Linked DNA regions of Cricetulus griseus. The protein of the gene in region 7 interacts with the protein of the main gene of each other region in a pairwise test. Links are inferred from orthologs where the notes say so. Each region holds a gene or a part of one and is shown on either strand. Other genes may lie near its edges. The genes, in order: Prc1, Copb1, Fam107a, Pnkp, Fam124b, Mcm10 and Trim37.

Region 1 (3,500 bases), on a different chromosome or scaffold from region 7:
CCCAGAACCCACATGGTAGAAGAATAAAACCAACTCAAGGAAGTTGTCCCCTGACCTCTACATGCCAATGGCATGTGCACAACCACACACCCACAATAAATTAAAAAAAAAAAAAAATCATACCACTAACAATAAAGATCTCATGTTTTAAGAACTTTATAACTTTTTTTAAATCTACTTTTATAAATTTAACTTTATTACTGTTGTTTGTGTATAGTAGGGGAACATGCACTTTGCCATGACATGAATATGACAGTCACAAGACAGCTTTATGAAGTTGATTCTTTCCACTCATTCTTAGGTGGGTTCTGGAGATTGAACTCAGGTCAGCAGGCTTTTACATGATAAATGCTTTATCCACTGATATCATCTTATTGGCCTGATCTCTTCTTACTCACCAATATCAGAGGTTAAAACTAGGACATTGCTGGGCGTTGGTGGCGCACGCCTTTAATCCCAGCACTTAGGAGGCAGAGGCAGGAGGATCTCTGTGAATTCAAGGCCAGCCTGGTCTACACAACGAGTGCCAGGATAGGCTCCAAAACTACAGAGAAACCCTGTCTCGAAAAACAAAACAAAACAAAAAGCCAAAACAAACTAGGACATCATGTTAGTCAAACTTCTACCACTGAACTGCATCCACAGTGGTTAGATTAGTTTTATATCAATTTACAGGTTGGACATTTGTGTATGATGGTGCCCAACTCTAGGCAGTGTTTTGTGTGTATGTATAATAACCAAGTGTAAGCTACAATTTCCAGTAACTGAATTGGATCAATTGTACAATTTTCTAAAATTTATGATGGCTTTATTAGGATGTAAGTCTAAGTTAAGAAGCAATTGTAAAAATAGCTGTGTAATCATCATGTCACCTAGCTAACTCCAGAACTCATCTCATCTTGCAAAACTGAAATCATTTTTGGCAAAAGGTCCTCATTTTATGCTCCCACCAATCCAATCTATTTTGTTGAGTCTGACTGTTTTAAACACCAGAATACTTTTGCAATACGTGGATCAGAAAGCTTACTTTGGTTAGCTAGAAGATGATATATCTAGTTCTTATTAATAGAATACTTACACTAAAAGTCCTATGAACATCTCTTTACCAATAACAATCAATTTAGGCCGGGCGTTGGTGGCACACGCCTTTAATCCCAACACTTGGGAGGCAGAGGCAGGCGGATCTCTGTGAGTTCGAGGCCAGCCAGGTCTATAAGAGCTAGTTCCAGAACAGCCTCCAAAACAATACAGAGAAACCCTGTCTCAAAAAACAAACAAACAAAAAAACCAATCAATTTAGTAGATCCTGCTCTATTCCTAGTAGATTAAGAAGGGAATAGAGTGGTTGGTAATTATATGTTCTACAAATAATATAGTTTCATTTAGCATTGTTAAAAACTTGCCATATATTCAAGGAAGACAGATGTACCAGTGTAGTCCCAACTTCTCATATACCTAATTTCACATTGAGAGTTTAAGAAAAAAAGAGAAATTTTATGTAGCAAATCCACGTCATTTATGTTAATCTCCGGAAACTGCTCTAACGTCATGGTCTGCTTGAATGCTCTTGACTGCCAGGGATCAATTTTCCTTACCCTTCAAAGGTGGTAAGTTTTTCCTTTAACAGTAAATGGAACATGAGAACCGTCATCATTCCTTTTCAAAGCTTCCTATGTGTCCCAACTTTTCAGAACCATTCTGGATGGTTCAGTGGTATGCAGTTTTTGATTATTAAAAGAACCACAAAGGTTGAATTTTGTTTGGTACTCCTCCTTTGTATCACTAGGTATCCTTGCCTCCTATGTACCCACTTTATTCTGTGGGGTGGATAGCAGCACATACATATATGTGAACAAATGGATGGAAGACGGAGATCAACTTTTGGGTAATACTGTACAGCTTGTTTTTTGTTCTAAAGAATTACTAATAAGGGTATAAGCTTCTCTCCTGCATGTATTTAAGTGTACTGCATGTGAACCTGGTACTCTAGACTGAAGTCACTAGAGGGTGCTGGACCCCCTGGAGTTGGAGTTCAGGACAGTTGTAAGCCACCACATGTGCTGGGAACTGAAACCAGCTCCTATGCAAGAGCACCACATGTTCTCAACTGCTGAGTCTTTGTCCAGCTGCTATCTTGTTTTAAGTTTGTGTTTTTGAGACAAGGTCTCTCATTGGTTTGAAGCTTAAGCCTCAGAGATCCACCTATCTCTGCCCCTGCCCCCCAGTGCTGAAGTTACAAGCATATGCCACCATTATTTTTTTCCCCTTGAGACAAAGTTTCTCTGTGATGCCCTGGCTGTCCTGGAACTCACTCTGTAGGCCAGGCTGACCTTGAATTTTCAGAGATCCGCTTGCCTCTGCCTCCCAAGAGCTGGGATTAAAGGCGTGAGCCATTATGGCCTGGCAATCTGGCTTTTTTGCAAGGTTTATGAGGCTTGAATTCAGGTTCTCATGCCTATGAGGGAAGGACTTTACCAATTAACCCATTTCTTCAATGTCCCCCTACCCGCCTCTTTCAAACAAAGATTCATGCCACTTTTCCCCTCAAAATTAAAACATTATTATGCTCTATAAAACTGAAATACAGCAAGAAGTGTTTGATAACCTATTAGCTATTTCATGTCAATAGGGTAACTATCTTTCACATTTCTCGAGTCTATCTCCCCTCCAAGAACGCTTTCCATTTACATTGCTAAGTTAAAACATAGTCATCTGTCTCAGACCCCAACCCACCCCCCAAACACTCTGTATTGCCACACCTGAAATGGCTTCACTTGTAACTCATTGCACAGGGTACTCAGCTCCTTCTGACAGAAGGATATGCTTTTGAGAAGCCGTTCCCTCAGGCTCTCCTCTTCAGCAATCATCCTATCCAGAAGATCCTGTGTGAGAGAAAACAGTTGGTAAAGGTTTGGCGCCACTGAGAATAAAACAAAACACAACAAAACCAATTAGCATCTCAAAACTCACATAATTTCAAATTTTGCAGAAGAAGCTTTAAATAAAACCAGGAAGAGTCTGTGATATCCTTGTCTGAACGACCAAATGTTATTATTTTTATTATCTATTATTATGTGTGAGGAATGCAAATGCCATAGAGTAAGTGTAAGGAGAGAAGACAACTTTATGGACTCAATTCTCCCTGTATACCTTATATGGATGGAGCTCAGGTCTTAGGCTTATATCATGGAGTTGCAGATGTCTTTACCTACTAAGTCACCTATCCAAGTCCCCAAATATCACTCTGTCTGATGTCTCAACAAGGCAGCAACATCCCTACCTCCTGGTCTCACTGCAGAAAGACCAGTACCACTCAACTCACCTTGATATGCTTCTTCACAACCTCGGTTCTTTGTAATCTCTGTTCCTCTGGAATCCCAATTAATTCCCATATTTCCCGAAGGTGAATCAGAGCTTTCTGGAGGCATACGATGGACTCCTCTGCTAGCACTTCACTGAAAATCAATATAAAACCATTTTACTTATAATAGCTAGCATCA
Region 2 (3,500 bases), on a different chromosome or scaffold from region 7:
ACAAACAAATAAAACCCTAAGCTGGGCGTGATGGCAAATGCCTTTAATCTCAGCACTCTATGAGGCAAAGGAAGGCAGAGTTCTGTGAGTTTGAAGCCAGCTAGGTCCACAAAGGGAGTTCCAGGATAGCCAAGGTGTTAACACACAAAGGGAGGAAGGGAGCGAGGGAGGAAAAAAAGTCAGGCTTGATGATGTGTACTCTGAGAACATGACTAACAAAAAGATATCTGCGGCTCTCTGGTGAGCCAGCCTAGACTATGTGGTGAGTTCTTAGCCACTGAGAGACCTTGTGTCAAAGTTAAAGGTTGATGGTGCCTGAGAAACAGTACCTAATGTAGTTCTCTAGCCTGAACATACATAGATGCTTATACAAACATGCAGGTGCACACACATGCACAGACACAAAATATATGATATATACTGTATGTTAAACTGGCAGTACTAGGAATCCAACCCAGGACCACCCTCACTCATTCTAGGCAAGGACTCTGCTTCTGAGCTCTACCACCAGCCCCATAACTTACACGGACTGAGAGCCATGACTATAACAATTTAGCACTTTAGCCTCCTCTGAATCTTACAATTGTTTTAAAGTTCAAAATCTCCAGCTTTATTATTTTACTCTAATGACTGTTTCAAGGCCTTGTTCCTGCTAAATAAACACTCACTCACTGAGGCATGTCCCCAACCTTTTCTATTTGTAGAGACTCATTAAGTTGCCCAGACTGGCCTCAGACTCTCATCCTCCTGACTCAGGCTCCCTGCACCACTCGTCCAGACTAAATTTTCAACTGTTATAATAACAAGAATTAGTTAAGAACTGCAGCCTTTTTCATTAAAAGAGTTCCTTCCTCAAAGCTTCTAATACAAGACCCATACTGTTCAAAATTAGAATTTTAAAACAAGGTAAAAAAATGCAATGCCTTTAGCAAGTAAAGATATATGAACTAAATGAACTGCAACAACACAATTAGGAATGATGGTCACTGTAGGGAACACCCTAACCATGCATCATTTACAAGTACATACATTCTGCAACCAACCACGCTGGAACCTCTAGTCTAAAGCATTTAAAATAGAAATAAAGCAAAGGAATATCTTTCCTTACCTGTAGATAGTGTAGATTGCTAGAACAGCGTTTCTCCTAACATAGCTGTGACGATGTTCTAAACAAGCACGGATAGCGGGCATTAAAGGTTCTAACAATTCTGCTTCCTTCAATTTGCAAAGGAAACGAAGAGTTGATCCTCGAATAAACTCATTAGGATGCTGAAGATCCTGATATAAAAATTACAGTAGGAAACATTGAGTTTCAGCTTTAAAAACCCTTACATTTAATTATTTATTTGTGTGTGTGTGTGTGTGTGTGTGTGTGTGTGTGTGTGTGTGTGTGTGTGTGTGTGTATTTGAAAACTCTGCAGAGGTCAAAGGACAACTTGCAAGAATACATTCTCTCCTTGCACCTTGTGGGTCCTGGGGACCACACTTGGGTTATCAGGCTTGGCAGCAAGTACTTTACTTGATGAGCCATCTCATAAGCCTAAGAGTCAGCCTTTTATAAAAATCAAGATTTAAACATAATACTTTCTAATTTGAAAAAATTAAAGTTACTTTTAGGGAAAAGATCTAGATTACTGGTTTTCTTCTGATTCCTCTAAAGTCATTTTTATGTATTTCACCATTTTTTTTAATAACACAGAAAATATAGGAAAAGGCAACAATACAAAATGTTTATCATAAATTTTACAGGTGTATCCAATCTTTTAACATTACAATAAAACTGTCATCTAAAAGTTCATACTGAGACTAACTCAATAGTTATGTTAACTATTGAGAAAAATAAAAACCAAGAAAAATAAAACCAAATAAAACCCCCAGCCCTAAATCCACCAAAAAGAATCAAATAGCATGTTAGGTTTTTATGTTGAGCAGCATTCACAGCTATCCCCACCTCATGCAGCCTAAACCTATTGCCATAGGCTGAACACACTTCAATAATAAATATTTACAATTTCTCATCACATCAAAGATCTCATTTTTGAAAGCTAAAAAAGTATCTATTAGAGCAATTTTATAACTACAAAAATAACAAAGCACAGTTATGATTTGGCTTACTTTTCTATACGCATCACACACAAGAATCATCTCATGTAAAAGTCTTCCATCTGGAGTTGTTTTAGGAACAATTTCCCAGAACACAAGAAGCAACTTTTTGATGGTGTGATCCTGGAGTGGCAGCACAAAACGGATGATAGTCATCAGGAGTCCAGGGAGCTTCTCACCATTCAGAATCATAATGATTACTTTCTTCAAAGCTTCAGTCTTGGACTTCACATCACCTTTCTCTGATTCAATCATTTAAAAAAACAAAAAAAGCATAATTATTTCAAAACCAAGTTCCTCGGATAGTTTAAAAAGGCTATGAGCAAAACAAACTAAATTTACTATCAGCTTTGGTAATAAGGTTACAAATCCAAATGAAATGTTTGAATATTTTGTCTCTGAATCTCAGATGCCTTACACAGGATTTGAGGGTACTAGATTAGTCTTCTGGTCCCTGACCAATTTAGTTAATGTGGTTCCTGAACCTATATTGCTAAACCACATGACTTTAACAGATGTGTCCCCCACCAATACCAAAAAACAAAAAAACCAAAGTAAATCCTTTAAACTCAAAATAACACATTTTATGTGCATTTTCTCAGTTATAGCCATTTTTTAAAAAGGGTAGCATGAACAGAGTGACCTTTATTAAAATTTTTAAAAGGGTCCTCAATATTCATGTAACTTTAGACACTTTCTTTTCTTGTCCATCTGAACAACTGAATAAAAACTAAAATGTTGAATCAGTAGCCACCGATTAGAATTTAGGATATATTATTTATAATAAAAAGGAAGTTTAACCAAGGATAAAAATTATTCACTATAAAATATTTTATGGAACTAGGTGGTGGTGGCACATGCCTTTAATCCCAGCACTTGGGAGGCAGAGGCAGGCGGATCTCTGAGTTCGATGCCAGCCTGGTCTACAAAGAGTTATAAGACAGGACTACACAGAAAAACCCTGTCTCAAGAAAACAAACAGAACAAATTTTTTTTGATATTTTATGAAAAGAAATCTATAATTTTAAGTATTATGAATACTGGGAAATTAATGGTATTAAAAATCTTCTGGGTCTGGGGGAGAAGGAATGGGGGTGAGGGGAGGGAGAGGGAGAGGGGAATTACATGTGAAACAAGCCTGTTCCCTAACTTGAATTAATAATAATAATAATAATAGTAATAGTAATAATAATAATAATAATAATAATAAAGAGAAAAAAAAAGAAATGAGGGAGGAAAGCCAAAAAAAAAAATCTTCTGGGTCTAAAATTCAAAGGCAGATAGAAGTACAGAATAAGTACAATGCTACCATAATTGTTTCTATCATAAAATCAGAGCTGGACAAATGGCTTAGCAGTTAGGAGCACTGGCTGCTCTTCCAGAGGAGCTGGGTTTGA
Region 3 (3,316 bases), on a different chromosome or scaffold from region 7:
TTTCCCACCTGGCCACAGCCTGCTGTGGCCTCCATGGCCTTCCTTGCAGCAGACAAAGCGTCTCTTCTTTGCTCTGTGAGTTCAAGACATTCTTGGCCTCAGGTCAAGCTTGAGCTGAGATACTCCCAACACTAGGAGCTGGGCTGCTCCCAAAGCAGGGGCCTGTTGGGAAGCTAAGGCAGAATGTAGGGACACTGGCCCTCCTTTCCACTTCTGCTAGGGAAGCTTACTAGTGGGTCCGATCAGGAAAGGCACCTGGGGAGGTCTTTCCTGGTAGTGGCTTCCTCTTAGCACTGGAAGGCTAGGTGCTCAGAAGGAGAAGTCCATACAGAGATTTTCCTGCGGGTTGCGGGGTATGGGTTGGAAGGGATGAGGTCCCGGAGATAGCCAGCCTCTCATGTCTGCCTTGCTGGCATCACCGTGTGTCAGGGCCTTCTGGTTCAGGAGGGCTGGAGGAGGTCTGGGCCAGATTGAGTGGCAGGAGCTGAGTGTAGAGAATTTTACAGTGCTCTCTCCTCCGTGGCAATTCTGCGCAGGTTTTCTCGGACTTTGATGAACTCAGGAGCATGGGCCTCTTCTCTCTGTGGTGGGTTTTCCAGCTGGAGGAGAGAGACACCTGTGAATTTCGCAGGGCTGGGGGGCCTCCCATTTTCAAAAGCCATGGTGTTGGACCAAAGGTTTTGTCAGTGGGAAAGCAGAAGCACCCTGGGGTGGGTTTTACCAACCATCCCAAAGTGGTAGTGGTGGTGGCTGTAGGTTGTATCAGGAGAGTAGATGCTTGAGAGAGTCATCAGGATTAACATAAAAACAAAACAAAAAAACACCCCACCCTCACTTCAGGAAACATCAAAACAGTATGCTTGAGGAAATGCCACCTGTTGTAATTTAAGAAAAGCAGCTCTGGAGAGAAGACACCAAGCAACAGGGTTCAAGCAGAGATTTTGTTTTGTTTTGTTTTAATTAGGGAAAGGGATCATAAAAGGGGGAAAGGGGAGGGGGGAGACCAGCCTCTGGGGACAGGAGCAGTGGGAGAGAGGAAAGAGGAAAGAAGAGAGGGGGGTAGTGAGGGAGGAAGCAAGGGAGGGGTGGGGGAGAGAGAGAGAGAGAGAGAGAGAGAGAGAGAGAGAGAGAGAGAGAGAGAGGGAGAGGAGACGGAGAGGGAGAGGGAGAGGGAGAGGGAGAGGGAGAGGGAGGGAGGGAGGAAGGGAGGGAGGGAGGGAGGGACATACAGCTAGAGAAAGAGGAGGATGGGAAGTGGGCAGGGTCCTTTTAAAAGGGAACATAGTGAATGTGCACAGGTGGTGCTCTTAGTGGCTGAAGCTGAGGACATACCCTGTCAGAACCCCAAGGACAGGACAGTACAGATGCCTGAATACTAACACCACCATCTTTGAATATGGACAGGGGGTGGGGTGATGTATAAATGACCTCATAAGGGTCAGGCTGCTTGCAGCCTGGGGTTCTGAGCCCTGGACCTGTTCGAGCTCTCTAACCCACATCCATTTGTAAGTGCTTTCCTCTTCCTTAATGAACTTCATCTATGCCACTATGCATGTCTTCGCCAATTCTCCCAGGACACAAGAACCTGGAAATCTTAGTGGATACCCTCTGTACCCACACGGGAACAGAGTAAGAGACCGGGTTCTCCTTGGGAAGCCTGGTTCAAATCACTTATTCCTCTGGCCTCAGACCCCCACCTCTAAAAAAGAAATGGCCTCTGCTCTCACAGGGGATCTAACTTTCAGATATGGATCTCACAGGAAAGCAGGGTCAGAGAAGTGAAGTCATTGCTAGTGTCGCACAGCAGGCCAGAGGTAGATTCCTGGTGCTGTGCTGACCTTCCCTTGGGGCCTTGGAGGAGGCTTAGATGGAGCTGCTGCTACCTCCTACCCACCTGATTCAGTCTCTGCTGTCTTCTCAGCAACTCCTGCTTGAAAGGGCACTGAAGCCTCTTAGCCTCCAGCTCCTCCTCCTTCTTCTTGATCAGTTGATTCCGGCGTCGGTGCTCCAGGACCCGCTGCAACTCAGGCTTGCTGTCTACACCCAAGCCCCTGGGGAGGTGGGAGCTATCAGGAGACACCCTTTCCCACCTTCCCAGTCTGGGCAGCAGTTTACAGGGATGCCCAATGGCCATTTTCTCTTACAGTGCTTGGGCAACACTGGAGGGGGTGACCTCACTGTCCAACGCTATAGAGAGAGGCAAAGAGCCACTGCCTCCAGAATAACAAGGCAGGTTGCAGCTACAACAGAATTTCAGCCCAGGCCACAGAGACCTGGTGACATGTGGTTGCTTTATATTTTACCAGAGCTTCTGGAGGTGGAAATGCTGAGCTGGGCTCTCTTGAAATCTCCTGGCAGTTAATTTCCTTACAAGGACAACTATTTATTCCCATTCTCCAAGACAATTATTATTATTATTATTATTATTATTATCATTATTGTTATTATTATTAAGTCTAGGAGACAAGAAACAATGCCCAGTTTTCATGTTTCCTTGATTATCAGTCACATGCAATAGTCTTTAAAATGTTTCTAGCATTTGCATTTCCCCTTTTGCAAATTCACTCTTTTTTTTTCCTTGTAGACTAAGGTACATGAATATGTTAATATTTATATTGTATATGTAATTTTCAATATAATTTATTAATATTGCAAATATTTCAGTTTGTTTGAAGCTGTTTTTTCATTGTGGTGATATTTTTGATACTTTTAATGAATGAACACTACAAAAAAACTACTTAGGACATGATAATATTACAATATTAAGTGAGCACAAACCCGCAAACAGCCCAGAGTGTAAGGGGTATCTGTTGTATGTTGGTCTCAGAATGGAAATCACAACCAGCTCCAATACAACTGGCCAGCAGAGGACTCCATGAAGGCCGCACCACCACCTTCAGCCTGGGCCATGTGAGCAGAATCCTCATAGAGGCTCCTCAACCACCCTGTCCTATATTTGACATGCTGTGATTGTTGATTGCAGACATGCCATTCCCCAGATTCCCCCTTGGCTCTTCTGCTTCACTGCTATCCTCTTGCCCAATAGGGGAACATGGCTGTGAGAGAACCGTCACTGCCTGATTCCTCAGCAACATCTGTGTGCTCTCTAATTCTCTCTGCTGGCACAACCTATCTCCCACCAAGACAGCTCCCGTCCCTGCTTTAGGCCATTCAGGAATCATCTCTTCCATGAATTCATTTATGCCCACATGCCTCTAAATCCTCCATCAATGCACACCCTGTCCTGCCTGATATTCTTCCACTCTCCTCTGGGAGGGCAGGAACTGGGCCTCCTTTTTTTGTATCCTAACTGAGG
Region 4 (4,037 bases), on a different chromosome or scaffold from region 7:
TGCTGTCTCAGAGGAGTGAAGGCCAGCCCCGTGGCGCACATCTGCCATTCAAGCAACAGGGAGATGGGTTTAGTAGTCACAGGAGTTAACATCAATTCTGCCTCAAAGAACAAACCAAAGCCAGGCATAGTAGCACACACTTTTAATCCCAGCACTTGGGAGGCAGAAGCAGGCGGAAGTGTTTTGAGGTCAGCCTGGTCTGCCAAGCAAGTTCCAGGATACCAGGGCTACACAGAGAAACACCTTATCCCCCCCAAAAAAAAAAAAAAAATCAATGGCCAGCTGTGGTGGCACGTGCTTATTTTGGTTGTTTTTTGTTTTTCTAGAGATGGTTTCTCTGTGTATCTGACTGTTCAGGAACTCAACTGTAGAACAAGCTGACCCTGAACTCAGATCCTCCTGCCTCTGCCTCCCAAATACTGATATTAAAAGCAAGCGTTACTGTTGGGCGGTGGAGTCCCACGCCTTTAATAACAGCACTCAGGAGACCGGCAGATCTCTCAAGTTCGAGGCCAGCTAGGGTGTTGTGGTGGACTAACATCCAAGCCAAATAATTCGACTGTGCTGAAGATAAGTCCAGTTGGGCTTGTTGACAGCAGGTTTCGCCCATAGAAGGAGGGGGCAAGGAAGGTCATGGGACTTCACCCGCGTTCCCTGCTGTTCCTCACAAGCAGCTATGTAGCTGGGGCCTAGGCAGGGGCTAGAAAATATAGGCAAGGAAGAGGTAGGGGAAAAGACTATCTGTGCAGCGTGGGATAGGTGTGGCCTTTGCAGGTAGCACCACACACAAGTAAGTAAACCCTGTAGGCCCAGTAAATTCACTGGTTCCCCAGAATCATCTCTGATGGAATCATATTTCGGTCTACCCTTCAGACGTAGAAGGGTAGACATTGTGACACTGTTTAGGTCTTCATCCGGAAAGCACTTTTGTTTTTGGAGGTGGGGACAGGATCCCATTGTAGTACTGACTGACCTGGAGCTTGTTATGGAGACCAGGCTGGCCTCAAACTCGGAGATCCGCCTTCCTCTGCCTCCTGAGTGCGGGGATTAGACAGGTACGCCACTACACCCGGGAAGTAACTTTAACAACACGGCTACATCCTGAGACCCTATCTCACCAAAACAGAACAAAACCAAGTAACTGCAGCCTAGGGACCCAAACGCCCCCTAGCAACACGCAAGCGGGTCAGGAGCGGCGCGCGCGCTATGGGAGGAGCCAAACCTTCCGAGTCTTTCCCACAACAGTGGTGAGTCTCGGAATGAATTCCGAAGTAATCCCGACCTTAAACTATCCTCTCTAGCTACTTATGGAACTGCTGTGGTAGCCTGGGAAACGTTGAACCCGCCCATGGGCAAGGGGCGGATTTCCGGAGCGGCTCTAGTGGGAAGGCAGGACTTCCGGTAGCGGACCGTAGCTGGCTGCCCAGCGAGTTCGCCTTCGCCACATCCCGGGATGTCACAGCTGGGATCTCGGGGCCGTCTGTGGCTGCAGAGCCCCACCGAGGGACCGCCCCCTATCTTCCTGCCGTCGGACGGCCAAGCCCTGGTTCTCGGTCGGGGACCCCTGACCCAGGTGACGGACCGGAAGTGCTCCCGAAATCAAGGTGGGCGCGGGAGTGAAACTACGGCATCAAGAGCTGCAGGGAAACCTGTGCCTAACCTGGAGTTAGACAGGGCTTTCGGGGAGGGACAGAGCGGATCCGGGAGATTGTCACCGGGTGGAGGAGGATGCTCGCAGCAAAGAGACGCCTCTGGGCAGGATCTATCAGGCCATGCCCAAGACCTAGGTCTACTCAGTGTGTCTTATGGAGCAAGCCGACCCTACAGATTTAAAAAATCGTAGGTCCCGGTCCTATCGAGAGATAAACTGTTTCGGGCCGGGGGTGACACACACCTGTCATCCAGGCACTTGGCTGGTAGAAGTTTAAGGTCAGCCACCAGTGTGTGGCGACTTCTAGGCTACCCTGGGCTACTTGAGGCCCTGTGTTGGGGAAGGGAGGAAAGTGCCTTTTCCTTCGGAAGTGCAAGACGAAGTCTATAGCTGGCCACGCCCCATATGTGATGTAAACCCTGACTCCATCCCCTTACCCTCAGTGGAGCTGATTGCAGACCCTGAGACCCGGACAGTGGCAGTGAAACAGGTACCAGTGTCTCAGCAACGAGTAGCAAGGACTTGGGGTAAGGGGTCGGGGTGGGCCGCAACCCTTCAGAAGGTTAGTAGGTATTCCCTTTTCCACCGTGCCAAACTGGACTCCTTGTGACCTTTCAAAGTTCTGATTGGTAGCATGCAATGAATAGGTGGGAGATTAAGGTCTGACTGGGAGATGGGGTATTGGAATTGGTGGGGAAGCAAGTGTTCCCTGAGGAGTTGGAGCCGACCTTGGTTCCTCCTTTCTTCGCAGCTGGGTGTTAACCCATCAACTGTTGGGGTCCAGGAATTGAAGCCAGGGTTGTCAGGCTCTCTAAGCTTGGGGGATAGCCTGTATCTGGTCAATGGCCTATACCCCCTGACCCTGCGTTGGGAAGAGATTAGCACAACGGGATCCCAGCCAGATACTCCACCAGGCACTCCTCCTTCGGATCCAGTGGACAGGGAGGATGCTGAGCCTCAGAAAAAGCGGAGACGGAAATCATCCCCTGGCTGGGAGAGCTTAAAGAAGTTACTGGTGTTCACAGCATCTGGGGTAGAGTCCCGGGGCAAGGTGAGGCCACAGTCCTGCCGCTTAATACAGAGTTTGCTGTGCAGCCCTGGGCTAGTCTTATCAAAGTCTCTGAGTCTCAGCTGTTTGTTGTGAACAGAGACTGAGGTGCAGGATACAGATCAGGCCCTGTAATCAGTGATGATCAGACCTTTCTTGGATGTGTTTATGGGTTACTCTGAAATGATTAGGCCACAGAAAGTTTGGGGTCTAGTCCCTGGTTGGGCACTCAGTCAACAGAGAGTTTTGAATTTAAATTTTTATTCATTTATTTATGTGAGCCTGCTTGATTTTATGTGTACCACATGTATACAGATGCCTGCAGAGGCCAGAGAGCATTGGGTTCCCTAGAGCTGAAGTTACAGGCAGTTGTGAGCCACCTGATGTGTGTGCTCTGAGCCACTGAGTCTTCTTTTCAGCTCTTCCAACAAAGACGGTTGCTCTTTCTGAGCTGATAATCTTCCAAGAGATGCTCAGGGAAAAGGGGAGGGTGGGACACAGGTCTCCATTAAAGACTGGAAAGTGGGGAGCAGAGGACACAGGAGCAGTGAGGTACTGCTCTCCTGCCTCACTCATGCACACCCTGCAATAGGAGTGTCAAAGGGCCGGTGTCAACTGTGGGGAGAGTCCCTGTTGACACAGGGGAGTACCAAACACAGTACTGCTGTCCCTGTGTTTGGTGATACCAGGTGGCTGCCTTTGACCTAGATGGGACTCTCATCACCACTCGTTCTGGAAAGGTCTTCCCCACTAGCCCTAGTGACTGGAGGTGAGGTGGTGCCTGGCAAGAGGGTGGGAGCTCAGGTCCTCTAGGTTATAAGTCATTGCTGCTTCCCACCGACCTTAGGATTCTGTACCCAGGGATTCCAAAGAAGCTCCAAGAGCTGGATGCTGAGGGGTACAAGGTATGTGTGTGTGTGTATTCTCTAGACTCCAAGAACTACAAGGTGCGGGGCCTATGTGCATGTGTGTGCATGAACACATGCATGTTTGTGTAGAGTTCAGGCTGAGCTGTGGTGTGGTGAGCGCCAGTGTGTCCTTGTCTATCCCCAGCTGGTAATCTTCACCAACCAAATGGGCATTGGGCGAGGGAAGCTGCCGGCAGAGGTGTTCAAGGCCAAGGTGGAGGCTGTGTTGGAGAAGCTGGGGGTCCCATTTCAGGTACAGCCAGGGACACTGAGGGGCTGTGTGGGACAGGGACCCAAAGAGAACATGCCAAGGTGTGGAATGGAGGCCTTGGCTGGGGTTGTGCTGACAGAAATGACCTTGGAAGTCCTAAGCACAAGGACAGTGTAACTTGGCCACCTCAATAGGTGCTGGTGGCAACTCATGCAGGTC
Region 5 (4,038 bases), on a different chromosome or scaffold from region 7:
GTGTTATTACTTCACACACTGAAGTAAGGGGAGTTCTGGCCATTTCCCAAGGACAGACACTATGGGACATTTGCTTTGACTCCCATGTATCTCCTCAACATTTACAAGCACAGTGACTGCCGCCACCCTGCCCATGCCCCATGCCTCACCTTTGTGGTGCCACCATTTGTCAAACGGACTTTGAGACCTGATAGAAACACATCCTTTGGACAAATAAATGTTCCTCAGTCTTCTCATTTATAACAGGATCGGTAATGACTTCATAGATTGTTAAAAGGATTTAAAATATTAGTGATTGGAAAATCTCATATTATACAGTGTATAATATGCACAACAGCAGTTAAAATACAATGATGTGTGTTCATGAGTGTTATGTCATTTCATGAAGAGTAACATTCTTTGTGTAGGAAGATGCCAGTATCACCTTCATTGAGCTAAGGTCACAACAACTACTAAGTGCTAAAGCTTAGCTGCCACATCATACGCCGTAAGGGACAGCACGTGGCAGCCATCATGATTAGGTAAACACCTGGCTGTGTTTAGCTTCAGTAGGATGACTGAAAAGGGTGGCTCTCAGATTTTCTTTTGAAGGCATTCTGGGTGTTGAACTTGATTTGTGCTTAAATTTGACAGTGGTAGAAAATGCTGCAAGGGGAAGCTACTAGTATTGCCAACCTAACATTCCCAAACACCATTACACCTTAGGCCTGTGGAAAGAGCTCATGACGGTGTTGCTGTAGCCTTGATCAGGAACCTGGAAGGAACCTTTGCTACTTCATAAACCTTCCGGCTCTTCCAGTGGAACATTTCCTCAGTGTGCTCTTCATAACACTTTGGGCTTTCCTCCTTCTCCATGGCTCCCTCTCTGCTACATGGCTAACAGCATGCTCTCTCTCTCTCTCTCTCTCTCTCTCTCTCTCTCTCTCTCTCTCTCTTCCTTATCTCTCTCTCCCCTGGCAGATGCTGAGATTTACAGCTTGCCTGAACTGAATTTCTTCCTCTTCCTCTACATCTCCTTTTGAACTCCAAGAAATTTGTCCTTGAGTTTCCTCCTGAGTCCATCCTTAAATTCCTTTATTAATGAGACTAAAAACCATAAGGGGAGAGCTCCATTACCCTAGTAACATGCACAAATCTGACTCGACACTCCAAATTTCCCAGTAATATTATTACTGAATCTAAATGGACAAAGTGTGTATGGATGTGTGACAGACATGGAAAAGGGAATTCTGGGGAGGGAGCATCACCTGACTCTCGGGCTTTTCAGCTACAAGTTCACACAAGTCAGGTATTTCTTACCTGTCACATGAGGAACTTGTATATTTTGAAGTCTGTGACTGTCAGCTGCAGTATATATAAGAATCATACAATAAACTCTTTTATCCTTTTGTAAGAAACTCTCTGGGTCTCCCCAGACTTTCTGGTCTAGTGGGACTGTGGTGCAGCTTAGCATGAACAAGTCTTAAAACCTCCCCAGTCTCTAACTCTGCAATCAGGTTGAAGACCACTGACTAAAGCACCTCTAGAGACCACCCAGATATAGCATCACACCTTTCCATTTCCTGACAGGGATGAGGCCATTTAAAAAAAAAAAAAAAAAAAGTACTTGTGCCCCTCCCTTTGGCTATCAGACTAATGACACAATGGATCCCAAGAAATTCAAACTTCCCCAGGAATCTCATGCTGCAGGGGAGTGGGGGGGAAGCTGGGGCCCTGATGGCAGCCAGGGGGGGAGCTTGACTCCCAGAAAGATTTCAGGAGAGGTTGAAGCTAAGACAATGATGATGGATAATAATGGGACCACACCCACCCCAGGACTGCATAGTTAGGTATGCATAAGTCTTCATATCAGGGGCAGGAGCCCCTGGACCTTTTAATTTGCTCTTCTCCCAATGTATCTGCTTTGAGTAACTCTGTTTTCTTGGTCTTTTACTATTATTCATCTGTTTAATTGGCCTACTGAGGATTGATGGCCAAGTCTAGCTTGTTGGAGTTTCCAGGGCCCTGGCTCTGACCCTACCAACTCTGGTAACTCTAGTACACACCAGAAACGTAAGAAATGAAATACCTGCAGCAGAATCTTGTTGCCATCATAGTCCTGAGTCTGCCACCTGGTGCTGCTGATGGGAATACACGGATTGGGTAGAAGAGGCACCAGTTGGCCGATCTCTTGAACCTTAAATTGCAGCACAGAAGACTCTTTGGGGTCCACTGGCATTCCCAGGGGCAGCTGCTTCAGAGAGAGCTGCAGGCTGAAGCCCTCGGTGGCATAGAGAACAAAGAAACAGAAGTTGCTCTTCTGCACGGTGGCGTCTCTCTGTAGGATCATCTCATATAGCCGGATGGCATCCTCATAGTTATCAAAACTGCAGTACAGAGTCACTCTGAGGGTATCAGTGCCACAGTGCACCGGCCTCATGCCCCACACTGGCATCTGGTGGTGCAGGCTGTAGAATTCCTGATTGGCGGGAAGATAGGGACAAGGCCTCCCCTGTGCATGCTGGGTAGGGAAACCCTGCCAGGGTGAGTGCTGTAGGAAGTCCAAGACTCTAAACAGCCGCTCCTGTCCAAGGCTTTCCTGAAGAAACAGCAAAACAGACATCCCAGGGAAGCGGGCCCTCCGGGGGTGGTACTTTTCATGGTAATTCACTGGTCTGGCCCGTTCAGACACTAGGAAGAGACGCACCTCTGGGCAGATACAGTCCAGGAGCTGGTCCAGAGCCTGCTGCAGAAGCGAGCCGTTTCCAGTGTCAGCAAGAAGGTGCACAGTCAAGGCTAGAGACTCCTGTGTCTCATCCATGGCAGGCCTAGGTGAAGATGATGGTCACCCAGCACGGTCCACTGTTCAGCCTTCTAAGTTGAACCAAGGTCTCATACGGAGCCTCCTAGAAAAACTTCAGCATCTTCTGAACCAAGCTCTTAATCAGATCACACATGCTCCTGGCTTCCTCCGATGCTCCAGCAGGAAATGTGGACTTTGCTACACACAACAGCGGTAGCTCCATGTCATCTGTTCTGGGCAGATGTAACTATTTGCTTGGCATTTTCAGGCATTCCCTGGGGTTTCTGTTTGACCTAAAAACCTATAATGCTGAGAACCACGCCAGTGGGTGGTTCTTACATTCAACTCGGTAGAGGAAATGACCAGGCCGAGAGGAACAGGAGGCGGCTCTGTTGCACTGATAGCCATCTGTAGCTCTGTAACACTGAAGAGAGATCCATTTGGTGGGCCACAATGGGCTCTGACTTCCTACTTAAATATCCTGATGTTTACAGTGGCCGCCAGGCCTCCTGAATAGGACGCCTTCTTTAAAGCCACTCCCAGTCTTGTCTGCTTGCCAGAGCCTTCAGCCACCATTGCTTTTATTTCATTTTTGATCATTTTCTGCTAGGTCACAAAAAAGAGATATTTTGTCTACATAGTGTTGGCCTCATTGAAAACTATTTGTCTGGCTGGACTAATAGCCTGGATGCACTAAAATGACATTAAGAAACTAGGTTGCCTTTGGTTCGTGTAAATTTGTAGACAGTGAGCTTTCCTGTTGCAGTAATTCTGATGTCTTCCTATTGAGGATCTGTTGATAAACTATCCGAAAACTTTAGAAAAATTGACTTAATCAGCCAACAAGCCTACAAAGAAGAGAGTATTTATCCCCCATTTGCTGACGAGAAACTGAGGCATAGAAAAAAAATCAGGTAAATTGTCCAAACTAACACAGTGACGTGTCAGGGGAGAGATTTGAAAGATCGGAAGGGCCCATAGTCTCTAGAGCTGGGAAGGCCAGCCACAGTTGATTGTTTTGTTTGTTTGTTTTCTTGAGGTGAGGAAAGGCTGCCATGTCAACTTCTAGTTGACACATTTACCTGTGGATACAGGCTAATGAATCTTAAACAGAATATCACACAGTTGACATAATCACCTAATCTGTTCCCAAATCTTTAGTAGTCAGGCATAGAAACAAATACCAGTAATCCTAGGATTCAGGAGATGGCTACAGGGGGATTACTGTGAGCTCAAGGCCAGTTGGGTAGAAGCCA
Region 6 (3,500 bases), on a different chromosome or scaffold from region 7:
CACATCTCCTAATCCTTCTCAAAATAGCTCAACCAACTTTGTACCTAACGTTCAGATATATGAATCCATGGGGGCAATTTTTACTCTAACTACCACAATGAGTTTTGCCTTATACTGAATATCTCTGGAGCAGAATACTGTGTCTCCCCACACTGGAAGGGGAATAGTATTCATTGGTTACTGATCCTGGGTAGGGGGCTCTGAACAGCTTGGTGTTTTCTGCTAGAATTCCCTGATCTGGCGGGAAGTTTTACACAAACTCTGCTACCAGAGTGTGAATCCAGTTAGGCAAAGCAATTGTAGATAGGGTCCAAGAATCAATAAAAGCCTGTACTTCTTGGGGGCTCGTCCCTCTAAGTCTCAGGAGAACTGTCCAGGGTAGATGGAGTATTACCTGTGGCCAAGTTTGCTCCTGACTAGCTGGGGGATTCAGAAGCTTTCTGATATGGATTTTGTTACCTAGTAACTACTGAACCTTCTGATCTCAAAGAAACAAGGACAGTTAAGGACATTCCTTCTTATCTCAGCCTGTATTCTTGATAGGTCTGCCTGAGAATTGGCAGTAGAGAATGGGAAAGCTGAGTCAGCCAAGATCACGCAGAGACTGCCCTTCTGGCCTCTTTCCACCATTGGTGGCAAGATGAAGGAGAGTGAGCCAGCCTGTGTCTCTTTTTAGTGGGAAATCAAGTTTCCCTATCAATTCTTGTTTCATTCTAATTTGCCAGGCCTTGGTCATATGACCATTGTTGGCTTTAAGGAATGCTGGGAAAACAGAAGGCTACATCCATTGTCTGAGGCTGAGCACTTGGCCAGCCTGGACAGTCAGGATTCCAGCAACTAAGGGAAGGGAAAAGTGGTTAGAGAGACGGGAGCTGAATGAGTCTTCCCCATTCTACAACTGCATAGAGCTTTGGCTTCAAAAATGTCTCCCAGAATCAGCTGCAGACACCCCTTCACCCATCTTATAATAAAGGCCTTTAGCACTTGCGTAATCTCTCTCACACAGGTGTGCTTATCTATTGATCATCCTCAAAAAGTCTTAATTATGGGAGAAGCTATGGACCTGGGAACCTGTAAAGCCAAGAAGAAGAATGGAGAGCCATGTACACAGATTGTTAATTTGGTGAGTCTCAAATCTGTTAGTCTGGTTTTTGCCTATGAAAAGAATCAATCATGACGGATAGACTTTGGGTGCTGGAGTGGTGATGAGCAAACGGAAGCTCTGAAATTCACAAGGTCTCATCTTGCACATAGTGTTGTGAGGCTGGGAGAAATGGGCTCACTGCTTCCCGTCACTGCCCCCAGCCTGCTGACTGAGTCCTCACCGGGTGTTTGTCCTTGCAGCATGATTGTGAGTACTGCCAGTATCACATCCAGGCCCAGTACAAGAAGCTTAGCGCAAAGCGATCAGATCTGCAGTCCACTTTCTCTGGGGGGCGGATTCCAAAGAAGTTCCGCAAAGGCACCAGCCTGAAAGAGCGACTGTGCCAAGATGGTTTCTACTACGGCGGGGTTTCTTCTGAATCCTTTGCAGCGTCCATGTAAGGCATTTCTCGGGGCTGCTTTTGGGAAAGGGTTTTGCTTGTCTCTTAAGAAGAAGCTGGTGGTTGAACTGTTCTGTAACTGTTGTACATGAGCTTCATTTTTCATAGCTGAAGCCAGAGTAGTTAAGGAGGCCTTTCATTCGCAGGGAGAGAGGCATACGTTCAGAATGAATGGGAAGTGATTCATGTTGTGATCTGAATATAGAGCCCATACTTTATGTTTAGCCAGATGTGGTGGCCCACACGTGCAAGCTCTGCAGAGACTGAGGCAGAAAGAGCATGAATCCATGGCCAGCCTAAGCTATATAGGGAGAACCTGTCCCAAGTGGAGAAAACAGTCTGGAGAGATGGCTTGACCATTAAGAGTGCATGCTGTTTGGTAGAGGGCCTGAATTTGCTTCCCTGTACCCAGGTCAGGTGGCTTGCAACCGCTGTAACTTCAGCTTCCGGAAATCTCATGCTCTTTTCTTGAGCTCTCTGGGTACTGCACTCACTGTGCACAAACCTGCACTCAGACACATGCATATACACATAAAAAAAAAAAAGTTAAAATAAAACTATTTTTAAAAGTGAAAAAACAATCGCCAGGTGGTGGTGGTGGTGGTGGTGGTGGTGGTGGTGCGCACCTTTAATCCCAGCACTCGGGAGGCAGAGGAAGGCGGATCTCTGAGTTCGGGGCCAGCCTGGTCTCCAGAGCAAGTGCCAGGATAGGCTCCAAAGCTACCCAGAGAAACACCCCCACCCCCCCACCCCGTCTCAAAAAACCAGAAAAAAAAAAAAAGAGGTGGAGGCAGTAAGATCAGGACTCTGTGCCCAGCTGTGGCAAAATTTCAGGCCAGCTTAGGGCATATGAATTCCTGTAGCAAAACAAAAAGGTGCATTAACATCCATTGAGTTGTTACCTTTATTGTTATTTGTTGTTACTATTATGTGTGATGAAGCTCACACAGAGGTGGGACAGATGTTCATGGCCCTCTACTGGGATCCTAGACTGTCTAAGGAACCCCAAAGCAGATAGATGATGTATGGCCTTGTCATCTTACCATAATGTCATCTGAGCATGTGTCAGATGAGAACATGTACAAAGGAATTGTGGTTGATCTAAAAACAAACAAACAAAAAATTGTTTCTCATTTTACTGAATTAGGCAAAGACTTTTGCACTTTCTGTATATTTAGTAGTATCTCTTTAATCATCACTTTTAGTAGCTATAGAGTATCTTTTATATGGTTATTTTAAATATTCCCTGTTGATGAGTACTAATGGCATCTCTAACGATGTTGTAGTTTTTTTGAGACAGGATTTCATGTAGTTCAGGCTGGCTTGAACCCAACATACAGTCAAGCCTGCCCTTGAATTCCTGAACCTTCTGCCTCCATCTCCCTAGTGCTGGGATTTGTACATGCCACCCTGCCCAGTTTCTAATAATTACAAAATACTAAACTTTAGCAGCCATTAAATATTTTAAGACAAATTCTTAGGCTTTTGTATCACAGTACTGACATTTTTTGAAGTTTCTGGCCCTTTGGCAAGGCCTCAAGCAAATCTGTAGGTTGCCTGTTCTCCATCTGTGCTTTGGTATACAAACCAGAACTACTGGGTTACTGAGTTACGGCTAGCAAAGCCTGCTTGTATGAGACTTGAGGAATTTGGCCAATTGGTAACAAATGCATATGAATCCTCATGGTTTGTTTGTGAAAACATTGAAGTTCAGTAACTTTCTGATCTGGTGCCTCTGTCATTTCAGGGCAGCAGCTATTGCTCCTAAGAAGAAGGTTCAAACCACTTTGACCAATCTGGTTGTGAAGGGCACAAACTCAATCATCCAGGAAACAAAACAAAAACTCGGTAACTTTTTCTGCACCCATCCTCTGTCTCCAGTGGATGCAGTATTTAGGATTGGGAATGGTTAGGCTTGCTTCTACTCTCCAGTGATGAATGGCTACTCATCGCCTG
Region 7 (3,500 bases):
AAAAGCCCAAGTGTAGAAGGGTGTTCCCTTTTGTGTTTTATTAAAAGGTATCCATGTCATTGGGGGCATGCCTTTGAAGAGCACACTAGACACTATACTCTTCCAAGTCTAGGCTATGAGGTGACTGGTTTGCCTCATGAAACACTTCTATCATATTGTGGTGCTTTACCACAACCACATACATCAAGCAATGGGTTGTTGTACCATGAACTGTAACCTCCAAAATTAGGAACCAGATTCTTTACAAATTGACTATCTCAGGCAATTGTTACAGGAACAGAAAACAAGTAATAAAGCAACTTGAAGGAAGATGGGACAAGTTACAGTCCACCATTGCTGGAAAGTCAAGGCAGAAATTAGACCAAGTAATCATATCCAAATTCAAAAGCAGACAGAATGGATGCACGCACCCATGTATACCTGCACTCAGTTCACTGTCTCATTTATACAGCCCAGGACTCAAACCCAGAGAATGGTATTACCCTGAATTGGCAGGCCTTCCCATCTCAACAAACATAATCAAGATAGTCCCCCACAAGACATACCCATAGGCTCCCCTAATACACAAGCTCTAGCTGGTGAGACTGCCTTCCTAGTCGATTCTACAATAAAAACTAACCACCAAATACAAACAATTTATTTATTTTTATCTATGATTTTATACTGTTGTGGAATGATCTTTTTGCTCACTATGAAGATGTGTTGCTCTCATTGGTTTAATAAAAAAACTAAATGGCCAACAGATGGGCAGGAAGAGGTTAGGCAGAACTTGTGGACCAGAAGAGAGTGCTGGGATGAAGAAGGGCAGAGTTGCCCAGAGACTCAGGAGAAGCAAGATGAGCATGCCATAGTGAGAAAAGGCACTGAGCCACATGATAGAATGTAGGTAAGAAATATAGGTTAATTTAAGTTGTAACAGCTAGTTAGTAACAAGCCTAAGCTATTGGCTGAGCATTTATAATTAAAGTCTCTGTGTGGTTATTTGGGAGATGGCTAGCAGGACAGAAAATTCCGCCAACATTATACCTGAAGTAAGAAAATAGTATTAATAGTTAACTGCACCAGCTTCTAATTCTAGTCAATGATGTTCATGTATGAGAAGGCAGAACTGAACACTAAATCACTATTCTAAGTGCATACTGCCTAGTTAGTATTCATAGGAAAACATTAGAAAAGCTTTGGAAATATTTTCTTTGACTGATGCATAAACTTCTGGTCATTCCTGAAAATTAGATTTTACTATTGGTGCCATTAAGATAAAAATAGGAAAAAATTTCTATTTCCCTTTTAATGAACAAATAAATATATAAACATATCTACCTTGATTATATATTTATTTAGAGTTACAGAAAAGCCAGGTGTGGTAGCACACACCTTTAATCTCAGAACTTGAGAAGCAGAGACAGATGCATATATGAATTCAAGGCCAGCCTGGTCTACATAGGAAGTTCCAGGACTGCCAAGGATATCTAAGAGAGACTCTGTCTCAAAAAACAAAACAAAAAACAGAGGTACAGAAAACCCTTAACTTTCTAACAAGTATGTAAAATTTGTATCAAAATCTTAAACAAAATTAGCAAAAAAAAAAAAAAAAGTAGAAAAGGACTAATTGGGAAGAGGAAGAGAATTAGCAGGGAGTAGGAGGGTTCAAAAAAAGGTAGGGGGTAAATATGATCAAAACTGTCGTACATAAAACACACGTATAAAAATGTCATTAAAAAATAAGACTATTTCTTCATTAGAAAAAAATGGCAGTTTTCTTCCTTTTCCTTTCTTCCTCTCTCCCTCCCTCTGCCCTCCCTCCCTCCTTTCTTTTTTTCTTTCTCTGAGACAGTATCTTACATAGTCTTGGCAAATCTTGAATTTCCTAGGTAGACAAGTATGAACTTAAACTCCAGATCTTCTACTTCTGCCACCTAAGTGTTGGGATTACGGTATGTACCATCACATCTGGCCATTTTCACTGTTGTTCCCCTACTTTCTAACATGATTTTATCAGAAACTGAAAGGTGCTTTGTAAAGTTAAGCTTGTAAAATCATGCACTGAAGTATTATACTGTCAAACAGGGAAAAAAGAAAATATAAACCACTTAATGCCCACACTTTTTTCAGATAAACTCGGTATTCAGATTTAAGTTATGAGTTCTATGCAGAGGCTGAAGGCAATTTAATGAGTGTACTTGCTAGCCCAACACCACTCTGTGATTCTTCACATGAAGTCAACTATGGAACTATCTACCTGTAACATATTACCACCATAAAATTTCAGGTTTGGAGGCATTTTGGATTTTTAGTTAGCTATGTTCAAACTATAAATCACACTTAAAAGAAAAAAAAAATTTTTGAGACTAGGTCTCTTGTAAGCCAGATTGGCTACAGACCTGTCATGTCGCCTAGACTGGTCTTGACCTCATGCTCTTTCTGGCTTTACATCTCAGATAGTAGAATTACAGGAATGGGTCATCAATATTTTCCTTTTTAATGGAATCAATAACTAGGTATCAAACCATTTTTTTACTTTTATTATACATCTAACAACATGAAACTCCTGAAATCAAAGTTACACTAGTGTGAATTTCAATATTTATGTTTGTTAAATGAATAAACTTTGAAACAGAGTTCTGATGACATTATTGCCCCCCCCCCCAATTTAAGTCCAATATCAAATACCTCAAATTACCTTAAAATCACTGTATCATTTTGTCTGTTCAAGTACCCTTCATTTGCAAGTAAGTCCAAACGGAAAAATCTGTTATAGCCCCAGCACTCGCCAACTTCAAAGTCAGATGCAAATTCTCGAATGATATTTTTGGTAGGATCGTTGCAAGTCTGGTGAACCATTTCTACACGATATTCATACCTAAAATACAGACACCATTAGTATAGTCAGCAAAGTAAAGATAACTAATTACACAAAAATAAAATTGTTATTCCAGCCAAACTCCTTTCAGAAAAGATATTATTTACAGAAACAGAAGTATTTCAGATGGGCCAACTGCCTTAGTTTGAGTTACTATTGCTGTGATTAAAAACTACAACAAAAGCAATTTGGGGAGGAAAGGGAGTACTTGGAAGATGAAGGCAGAAATATCGTGAGCTCAAGGACATCCCTGGCTATATCAAGTTTAACACCAGCCTGGCTATAACTCCCTCATTTAAAAACAATAACAAAAAAGACGGGAAAAGTGGAGTAGAGGAGGACTTTCTTCCCTAAAACAGAAGTTACTCTGTGTCATAGTTAGGGTTACTATTGTTATAATGAAACACCATGACCAAAAACAAGTTGGGGAGGAAAAGGTTTATATGGCTTGCACTTCCACACCACAGTCTATCACTGAAGGAAGTCAGGACAGGAACTAAGCAGGATTGGAACTTGGAGGGAAAAGATGATACAGAGGCCATAGGGAGTTACATACTGGCTTGCTGCTACTCATGGCTTGCTCAGCCTGCTTTCTTATAGAACTACCTGCCCAGGGATGGCACCACCCATAAGGACTGGA

Evidence for each region.
Region 1: the proteins of Trim37 (region 7) and Prc1 interact in binary tests that used the Homo sapiens proteins (3 or more experiments, as listed by UniProt). The link is inferred for Cricetulus griseus from reciprocal best matches to the Homo sapiens genes TRIM37 and PRC1.
Region 2: the proteins of Trim37 (region 7) and Copb1 interact in binary tests that used the Homo sapiens proteins (3 or more experiments, as listed by UniProt). The two-hybrid records come from large-scale screens. The link is inferred for Cricetulus griseus from reciprocal best matches to the Homo sapiens genes TRIM37 and COPB1.
Region 3: the proteins of Trim37 (region 7) and Fam107a interact in binary tests that used the Homo sapiens proteins (3 or more experiments, as listed by UniProt). The two-hybrid records come from large-scale screens. The link is inferred for Cricetulus griseus from reciprocal best matches to the Homo sapiens genes TRIM37 and FAM107A.
Region 4: the proteins of Trim37 (region 7) and Pnkp interact in binary tests that used the Homo sapiens proteins (3 or more experiments, as listed by UniProt). The two-hybrid records come from large-scale screens. The link is inferred for Cricetulus griseus from reciprocal best matches to the Homo sapiens genes TRIM37 and PNKP.
Region 5: the proteins of Trim37 (region 7) and Fam124b interact in a two-hybrid assay, tested with the Homo sapiens proteins (2 studies listed by BioGRID and IntAct). The link is inferred for Cricetulus griseus from reciprocal best matches to the Homo sapiens genes TRIM37 and FAM124B.
Region 6: the proteins of Trim37 (region 7) and Mcm10 interact in a two-hybrid assay, tested with the Homo sapiens proteins (2 studies listed by BioGRID and IntAct). The link is inferred for Cricetulus griseus from reciprocal best matches to the Homo sapiens genes TRIM37 and MCM10.

What each region holds. Positions count from the first base shown.
Region 1 is NC_048596.1:117,306,059-117,309,558, forward strand, and holds part of Prc1 (protein regulator of cytokinesis 1), read right to left. Parts: intron 3,456-3,500; coding exon 3,323-3,455; intron 2,883-3,322; coding exon 2,760-2,882; intron 1-2,759. UniProt on the Homo sapiens protein: Key regulator of cytokinesis that cross-links antiparrallel microtubules at an average distance of 35 nM. Essential for controlling the spatiotemporal formation of the midzone and successful cytokinesis.
Region 2 is NC_048596.1:86,412,877-86,416,376, reverse strand, and holds part of Copb1 (coatomer subunit beta), read right to left. Parts: intron 2,346-3,500; coding exon 2,116-2,345; intron 1,279-2,115; coding exon 1,109-1,278; intron 1-1,108. UniProt on the Homo sapiens protein: The coatomer is a cytosolic protein complex that binds to dilysine motifs and reversibly associates with Golgi non-clathrin-coated vesicles, which further mediate biosynthetic protein transport from the ER, via the Golgi up to the trans Golgi network.
Region 3 is NW_023276807.1:166,689,486-166,692,801, forward strand, and holds the end of Fam107a (actin-associated protein FAM107A), read right to left. Parts: intron 2,052-3,316; coding exon 1,895-2,051; intron 600-1,894; coding exon 501-599; downstream 1-500. UniProt on the Homo sapiens protein: Stress-inducible actin-binding protein that plays a role in synaptic and cognitive functions by modulating actin filamentous (F-actin) dynamics. Mediates polymerization of globular actin to F-actin. Also binds to, stabilizes and bundles F-actin.
Region 4 is NC_048599.1:153,694,222-153,698,258, forward strand, and holds the start of Pnkp (bifunctional polynucleotide phosphatase/kinase), read left to right. Parts: upstream 1-1,237; 5' UTR 1,238-1,453; coding exon 1,454-1,604; intron 1,605-2,094; coding exon 2,095-2,141; intron 2,142-2,402; coding exon 2,403-2,702; intron 2,703-3,388; coding exon 3,389-3,468; intron 3,469-3,546; coding exon 3,547-3,604; intron 3,605-3,752; coding exon 3,753-3,860; intron 3,861-4,012; coding exon 4,013-4,037. UniProt on the Homo sapiens protein: Plays a key role in the repair of DNA damage, functioning as part of both the non-homologous end-joining (NHEJ) and base excision repair (BER) pathways.
Region 5 is NC_048595.1:432,859,175-432,863,212, forward strand, and holds the start of Fam124b (protein FAM124B), read right to left. Parts: upstream 2,801-4,038; coding exon 2,069-2,800; intron 1-2,068.
Region 6 is NC_048596.1:222,201,145-222,204,644, reverse strand, and holds part of Mcm10 (protein MCM10 homolog), read left to right. Parts: intron 1-1,006; coding exon 1,007-1,123; intron 1,124-1,344; coding exon 1,345-1,541; intron 1,542-3,291; coding exon 3,292-3,392; intron 3,393-3,500. UniProt on the Homo sapiens protein: Acts as a replication initiation factor that brings together the MCM2-7 helicase and the DNA polymerase alpha/primase complex in order to initiate DNA replication. Additionally, plays a role in preventing DNA damage during replication.
Region 7 is NC_048600.1:100,408,839-100,412,338, reverse strand, and holds part of Trim37 (E3 ubiquitin-protein ligase TRIM37), read right to left. Parts: intron 2,861-3,500; coding exon 2,681-2,860; intron 1-2,680. UniProt on the Homo sapiens protein: E3 ubiquitin-protein ligase required to prevent centriole reduplication. Probably acts by ubiquitinating positive regulators of centriole reduplication.